Ovis aries: one gene and its partner. The protein of the gene in region 2 purifies or fractionates together with the protein of the main gene of each other region. This does not show direct contact. Links are inferred from orthologs where the notes say so. Each region holds a gene or a part of one and is shown on either strand. Other genes may lie near its edges. The genes, in order: TAPBP and TAP1.

The links.
Region 1: the proteins of TAP1 (region 2) and TAPBP purify together in Homo sapiens (co-immunoprecipitation; 6 studies listed by BioGRID and IntAct, with this or other methods). This does not show direct contact. The link is inferred for Ovis aries from reciprocal best matches to the Homo sapiens genes TAP1 and TAPBP.

The regions. Positions count from the first base shown.
Region 1 is NC_056073.1:7,634,008-7,637,908, forward strand, and holds the start of TAPBP (tapasin precursor), read right to left. Parts: upstream 2,365-3,901; 5' UTR 2,326-2,364; coding exon 2,289-2,325; intron 2,164-2,288; coding exon 1,993-2,163; intron 1,759-1,992; coding exon 1,498-1,758; intron 1-1,497. Other genes in the region: ZBTB22 (zinc finger and BTB domain-containing protein 22), read right to left, coding at 3,329-3,901. UniProt on the Homo sapiens protein: Involved in the association of MHC class I with transporter associated with antigen processing (TAP) and in the assembly of MHC class I with peptide (peptide loading).
Region 2 is NC_056073.1:7,335,257-7,339,128, forward strand, and holds the start of TAP1 (antigen peptide transporter 1), read right to left. Parts: upstream 2,944-3,872; 5' UTR 2,899-2,943; coding exon 2,301-2,898; intron 1,750-2,300; coding exon 1,635-1,749; intron 1,497-1,634; coding exon 1,366-1,496; intron 409-1,365; coding exon 203-408; intron 1-202. Other genes in the region: PSMB9 (proteasome subunit beta type-9), read left to right, coding at 3,492-3,551. UniProt on the Homo sapiens protein: ABC transporter associated with antigen processing. In complex with TAP2 mediates unidirectional translocation of peptide antigens from cytosol to endoplasmic reticulum (ER) for loading onto MHC class I (MHCI) molecules.

The DNA of each region.
Region 1 (3,901 bases), about 300 kb from region 2:
CCATGACAAATCTAATGAGAACGTTTCTGAGAGGAGACTCTACATCTGGTCACCTCTGTGACCCTTAAAAGTGTTCAAGGGCACCCCAGAGATTCTGATTTAATTCACCTGCAGTGAAATTTTTAAGGATTCTTATTTGCAGACCGAACTGAGAACTACAGGGCCCCAATTTATTCTTGGTGATAATAAACATTTATTAAACCAGTGAATAAATTAACAAAGTGTCTCCCTTGATTGTCACAACAACGGGAAGGCAGATGGGAAATACCATCCACATTTTACAGTTGGAAAAGCAGATTCAGAGAAAAAGGGACATTCTTACCCTACCCCGTGAAACCAACAGCCTTGGAAATATTCCTGCCCACTAGAGACAACTGCCATCCCCACAAGGAGCAGTTTGCCTCTGTTCCTGCCCTGGGCAAGGTCTGGGGACAAAGAATGGAGATGGAAGCAGAGGTGAGGATTGCGGAGTGGGTGCTGAGTCCCATGGGTGATTCTCTCAGTGAGGAGAATGTCAGGGAGAAGGTACTGGGGAAGGCAGGTTGTAGGGCTCAGTAAGGGTTGACTGGCAGGTCAGGCTGTATCCTTTCCATAAAATCACACAATGTTTAAGAATTGCCAAGGACTCTGTTCCCATCACCCTCCAGAGAAGAGCTCCAAGAAAGCCAAATCCAGGTCGCATCTTCCCCACTTTTGCTTTATCCACCCACTCCCTGCGCCCAAGACCCGAAAAGTGCCCAAGCCCTGGGCCTTGAACCGGGTTACACAATGCGGCAAGTGGTCCGTCCTTGCAGCCAGAACCACCAGATCCCCCGCCGCTTCCCTTCCATGCACTCAAGCCCACCATTCAATGACCACAGAGTCAACGCATCATCACGAGCCCTAAGAGGAGGCTGTCAGGTGAGGTTAACGCTATTGAGCACAAGAGCCTGCGCTTTGCTGATTGTTGCAGCGCCGGATGTGGGAGTGGGTGGGGCGTGAAGGCCGTTTTTTGTTTTTTTTTTTTAACATGGTGAACAGCAAAGGTGGGGGCGCCTAGCAAGATCTCGGAGGAAAGGAGCAAAAGTTCCTGCTTCTGAGACCCTCCCAAGCCCCTCGCCTAGCGAGTTGCTTAAGGTCTGCTGCTGCTGCTAAATCGCTTCAGTCGTGTCCGACTCTGTGCGACCCCATAGACGGCAGCCCACCAGGCTCCTCTGTCCAAGGGATTCTCTAGGCAAGAATACTGGAGTGGGTTGCCATTTCTTTCTCCAGTCTTAAGGTCAGGTGTCCGGAACCCCCGCCTCTCTCCAAAACCCCGCCCCAAACCGCATTTTATTTTAGATTAGGTTGGGACTAGATGAAGCGGTAAAGACATTTTAACTGAACTGCCTTGATTTACAAATAAAGGAACGGAGACTCGACTGGGGAAGTGACTCGCTCAAGTCCGCAGAGCGAGTTAACGGCTGATCTGGACCCTTACAATCTACCCAATAATCTCCCATTCCCCTCTATAGCTACCTGTTGCCATGGTGATGAGAGCAGGCTCAGGCTGAGGCTCCGACTGTGGTCGAAGGAGGCTGGAGAGGCTGAGGAACGGGCTAGACATGCTGACCATGAGCCAAGTCCCGTCCAGGGCCCGCGGGCAGCTCTGCTCCGGGGTCAAGCCGCTGAGCCATTTGGCCGAGGCTGGGAGCGGGACGTAGAGGCTCATTTCGCAGCGTGGAGCGGGGGCGTCCCGGGGATACTGTCTGAAGGCGGCCTGAAGGGTGCCCGCGGGGTCTGTGAACGCAGAGAGAGGAGCTGCAGGCGTAGAATCTCCGCCAGGAAAGAAGAGGGGAGGGCAGCGTCCAGGGACTTTCAAAGGTGCAGACTAGCCGGTCGTGAGAGACTGAGAGGGCGGAGCGTTTCACTTTACAGCTGGGGGAAACTGAGGCCCGAGGTCACTGAGACCCGAAGGGCTGGGGGGGTTTCGGGGGAGGCAACAGAGTTGGGAGCGAGTCAGGGATGACTCACCGTGAACTTTGAGGTAGCGCTCCGGGGCGAGGTCCGGTCGAGGAGGTGGGCTCTCCGCGCCCTGGCGCAGCAGCAGGGCAGCGGGTTTCTTGGCCAACTTGCCCCCGCCCGCATCCTCCACGAACCAGCACTCAATCACCGCGGGTCTGGCCGAGACAGCGGTCGCCAAGCCTGGGAAGAGGGACGCGAGTGAAGGCACGGCCCCAACCTCAGGTGACCCGACCTCCCCCATCCCCGGACGTGGCGGGGCTCACCTCCCACCGTTCCCTGTGCAAGGAGTCACGGGGGTCGCTCACCCAAAGCCACAGCGAGGAGCAGGGACACGCGCTTCATGGCGCTCGGATTTCTCAGCTCTGAAACCGCCTCTTCCTCCTTTCGCTTTCACTTTCCTCCAAAGGCCAGCAGGTGGGGCGGAGGAAATCCCCTCTCAGGCTGGGGGAAAGCTCGTGGGAGGCAGGTTCTCTCCCCGCCTTGCCCCCTCCCCGGCGCCGGGCAGGGTTCCCGAAACATCCTCCCCAGTTGAGGAGTTCCGGTCTGGGGACCTCAGTCCCGCCCAGCCCTCCCGGACTACCCAGCGCCGCAGAGTCCGCGAGCCTTCCCACACCCGAGGCGCCCCCGCCTGTCCCCCACAACCCCGAATCCACTTCCCTGAGAACCATTACTCCACCTTCCCCCACCTGTGCCGGGTCCCAAGCAGACACATCGGGGTTGTCGGGAAGCCAAATGAAATGACCAATAAATATTTTAATCACTGTTTAGAAAAAATAAGATTTAAAATAAAAACCTGTACTCCTACAACTTAGTCCCTCCTTGTCTCCATCCCCCTCTCTCCCCAGTGAGAATTGAGTTTGGGGACCCCCAAAGTGGGGGAGGAGAGATTAGGGTAGAAATAAAGGGCACATCCTTTTGCGGGGCAGGCTATATTCTAGGAAAAGGGTGGGGCTCTAAGGCCTGGTCCCCACAACTACACAAACACAGACTTCAGGTACAGACTACAACCACCTGACCCTTGACCCAGTGACTCCTGGATGCTCAACAGGCCCCCTCACCCCACCCCCACCCCCACCCCACATGGGCCCTACTCGGGAGCTGGGGCTTCTGTGCACCCATCTGCAGGGAAGCAAGGGCTGAGTTACAGGGATACTTTGGGGAGGAGGGGCCGAGGAGTGGAATGGGGTAGCCCATGGGGCGACGCGGTTCCCCCTCCAGGATATATATACACAAGTCCATAGAGACAGGAAGACAGTGAGTTGGGAGATCACCTAGGGTCCACAGTGCCCCAGACTCGTGATACCTAATCTCTCTTCCCGGAAAGCTACCCCGGTGGGCCGCCCCTTCAGTTTGCTCCGCCGCCCCCACTGAAGCCCATTTCCACCTTGTGGACACTGAGCGGGGACCAGACGCATCGGCTGGACGGGGGCGTGGCCCCACTCGTCTCATCGCCGCTGCCCCCGCCGCCGCCGCCGCCGGGGGACTCTCTCTTGGGCTGCAAGGCCGCTCCGCTGGGCCCGCCCCCGGGGCCCGGTCCAGCCCCGCCCCCGCCGCCTAAGTGGTGCCGGCGCTCACAGTGTCCCCGGTGGCGCATGAAGCTGTCTCGCCACATGAACTTCTTGGCGCAGACACTGCACTCGTAGGGCTTGAGACCCGTGTGCGTCTTCATGTGCTCCGTCAGGTGGTGCTTCATCTTGAACTTTTTGTTGCACACGGGGCAGTCAAAGGGCCGCAGGTTGAGGTGCATGTTCACATGGCGATCTCGCATGCTCTTGTGGGAGAAGGCTTTTCCGCAGTGGCACAAAAAGATCTTATTTCCATCCCCACTGCCTGTCCCTCCAGGGGTCCCGCCGGTACCACCTGGCCCGCCCAGGGCCCCTGCTGGTGTGCCCCCCAGGGTCACCGCCCCGTGTTCAGC
Region 2 (3,872 bases):
TTCTTAAAGACAGGTAGTGGGCAGACGTTAGAAGACACGGAGAACATGAAAACTGACACTGAGCAACCCAAGAATGTGGACAGTTGGACCCACAGAGATGCAGAATCAGTGCAGGCGCCAGGAAAGAACCCTGACAGGAAGCGAGCCCACCACGTCTGGGCGACAGGAGTCAGCGCAGGTTGAGGCAACTCCCCAGACAGACCTTGTGCCGATTCCCCAGCTTCTTAGGCAGAAGAAAGAGCAGGGGCAGGGCGACCAGGGTGACCACAGTGAGGGACGGGGACGCCCAGAGCATGAGCCCCAGGAGACACAGTCCCCGGATGAGGTACCACAGCAACAGGCTGAGATCCGAACTCAGAGATTCACTCATGGTGGACGTGTCATCTGTCACCCGAGATGTGATTTCACCTGTGAAGGGTTGGGGAGAAGAGGGTGGTGTGAATGAGAATCTCAGAGTGATGGGAGGGACAGGTGAGCCAGGGTGCCAGGGGAAGGGTTCTCAGAAGGCTGAGAAGACAAGGTCAGTGGTTAGGGAGACTTGGAACCTCAACACAAGGAGAAAGTGTCCAGAGGAGAAGACTAGCTAAAGACTTTCCAGTTTAAAAAAAAAAAAAAAAAAAGATGCCCTTGTGGATTTCATTTTCTCTGACAGATTCCTGTTCTCTAAGAACTTTTATATCCCAGGTACAGGGGCAGGAGAAACAAGCAGATCATCTAACAGCTGGAGAGAAACAAAGTTGCTGTTAAACAGCAGTCCAGGAAACTGTAGCAAGCGCTGGACTGGGAATCAAGAGAGGGGTTCTGACTCTGAGTTCATCTCTGTCCGCCCGCATCTAGGCAAGCGCCAGCATTTGGGGACGGCCTCAGTTCCCTTCTCTGCAAAGCAAGGTGGCTAGACTCTGTGATCTCAAAATTTCAAGGTTTAAATTCCAGTCATTTCTATCTAAACACACACAGAGGGATAAGTCTGTGAGGCTTGGATGGAAACACTAGGCTTTTCTTAAATAAAAGGAGTATGTTTTGCTCTTGAGGCACGTTGAGAATAAGACATGACAGTGTTTATGTGTGAGAGACTAGAAATCAAGGTTATAAGTAAAAGAGGAGGTATGGGCTTCCCTGGTGGCTCGGATGGTAAAGAATCTCCCTGCAATGCAGGAGACCTGGGTACGATCTCTGGGTTGGGAAGATCCCCTGGAGAATCCATTCCAGTATTCTTGCCTAGAGAATTCCATGGACAGAGAGCCTGGCGGGCCACAGTCCATGAGGTCCCAAAGAGTTGAACATGACTGAGAGATTAATAATTTAATACTTTATGGGTGTATAAACAGTAAGTGAATGGATAGTGAAAAGAGTTTCATGAGAAACCTGCTTGGTTCTTTTGAAAAAACTCTGTCTCCTGGCGCAGGACAGCCTGAAACACCTCTCCCTGCAGGTGGCTGTGCATGCGGCCCATGGTGCTGTTGTAGATTCCATCAGCTGTGAACTCCAGCACTGCACTACGGGGAGACAAGAGAAGGGGGCCCGGGGTGGTCAGGAGGTCCCCCAGAAGTTCACCCTGGACGGCAGCCCCAACTTCCAACTCCCACTTTTTCCGAATCCCCTGTCCCCCAGCCTTCCACCTTCAGTGCCCAGACCTGGCTATGGTGAGGACCGACATGAGGGTTACGTTCCGGGTGAAGGCAGCGGCTGTCTCATCCTGTACAATCCAGTCGGTGAGCCGGCCAGTGTAGAACGGAATGGCCATCTCCCCTGCGGAGGGGAAGAAATAGCAAGTCTGAGCAGGTGAGCTCTCACCAGGCCCTGGCCCACCGGCTTTTCACCTTTATTCATTCTCCTGAGCTCTCACCAGGCCCTGGCCCACCGGCTTTTCACCTTTATTCATTCTCCTGAGCTCTCACCAGGCCCTGGCCCACCGGCTTTTCGCCTTTATTCATTCTCCTGCAGAGCAGTGGAGAGATACCATCTCCACCTACACGAGGCCCAAAGACCTTTAGAGGTTTAATGAGGAAGCCTAGCGGTTGTAGGATGGGCTGCCCGGGAAAAGCCCTTGTCCACGGCGGCCAGTGAAGCAACAACACGCAGGGCAGCCCTGGAGTCCAGGACCCCTGACAATTGCCCAGTCAGGACCTTCCCACTCCACTGGGGTGATCAAGACCTGAGCTGGGTCCCCTTCCCCTCACCCACGTTTCCGAGAACCCACACCAATTGCTCTCATTGATCAGGCCCCTCGATTCCTACCCAGTTCTCCAGTCCCGTCCCCCTTCCCGTTGCACGCCCCCCGCCGCCCCCACCTTACCTACCAAGACAGGAGAGAAACACCAGGGCCAAAATGAACTGCACGTGGCTTTTCTCCGGACCCAGGAAGACTAAAAGCCGGCTCATCGCCAGGCCAAAAGCCCCGCGAGCTCCTTGCACGCAGAGGCTCCTGATCTTATACCACAGGGTGGCCGCGGGCAGTGCCGCGCAGTAGCTGAGAGCGAAGGCGTCCAGGCGACTTCCCCAGTGCAGGGGCCCGGCGCTGTCCGCGTCCTCGGGGGCTCGCCAGGAGACCAGCTCTCGGATCAAGGCGAGTCCCGGCAGGGCCAAGCCCAGCGCCGCCGCCAGCGGCTCCAAAACAGCCAGCCACCCGAGGACTCGCGTGCCTTCCCTCCGGAAGCCCAGCGCGGCCCCGACGACGCCGCGGGCCCCCAGCCACAGCAGCGCCCAGCGGCTCAAGCCCGCCACCCAGACCCGCAGCAGCGGCAGCGCAGGGGGCACCAGCCGCGAGGCCACTCGGGGCAGCGCCGGCCGGAGCAGCGTCCAGTCGGCGAGGAGCAGCAGCGCCGTCCCCAGCCACGCGACGGCGAGGCGGGGGAGGCGCGGACGGCCGCAGGGAGCTGGGGACCCCGGGCAGGCCATGGGCGCGCGCGGTCCCGGCTCTCGCTGTCCGCGACGGGCTGCTGTGGGAGCCCGAGCCCCGGGCCGGAACCCGGACCGCCGCGGGGAGGGGCCGGGGCGGGGCCTCGGAAAGTCCCGGGAGCCCGCCGAGCCCGCGGCGCTGCCCAGAAGCGGGCGGTTTAGGGGAAAGAGAAAACGAAAGCGGCCCGGCTTCCCAGGCCCGGCCCCTGCGGAGGCGGCCGGCCCAGGGCACCTGGGAGGAGCGCAGGGACCTCGGATCCGAGGCTGACCTCCTCCATCGCCACCCGAGCCCCGCCTCGCGTGCCACCGCCTCCTGCAGGAGCCGCGCTGCCCGGGACTTTCTGGCCCCGGGTCTGCAGGCGGGGCTCGTGCGTCATCCGTCTCCGGGCAGATCCGCTGGCCCCGGTCTCTTGCGTCATCTGTCTCCGGGTAGACCCGCCCCGCACAAGTTAGCGCCGGGCCGCCCCGCGCGGCGGCACGGACTCGTGCGCCCCCTGGCGGGCGCGGCGCGGGGGCGGGGCCTCGGGCAGCGGGCGGCGCGCGGTCCCAGGTCGGAAACCAGAGCCCGGAGCGGCGAGCCTCGCGGAGCCGGGATGCTGCGGACCGGAGCCCCCACCGGGGACTTGCCCCGGGCAGGAGAAGTCCACACCGGGGTAATGAGTCTGGAACATCGGTGGCGGGACGGAGGGACGGGCGGACCCTGGAAGCGCCACAGGGTTAACTCGGAGACTCGCAAGAGGGAGGAGACCGCTTGCAGCAGCCGGGGCGCGCATCCCAAAAGGAACACGGGCGTCTCTACAGAAGCGGGGTGCTCGGGGGGCCGCCGAGGGACTGGGCGCGGGGGGCCGGCGGGGAAGGGGTGCTTGGGCTCCGAGCTGGAAGCGTTGAGGGGAAGCTGCTTTAGAGCGCTTTCGCTTTCACTCTGGACTAGAGACAGGGGCTGCTTCAATGAAGGGGGAGAGCTGGGGAAGGTG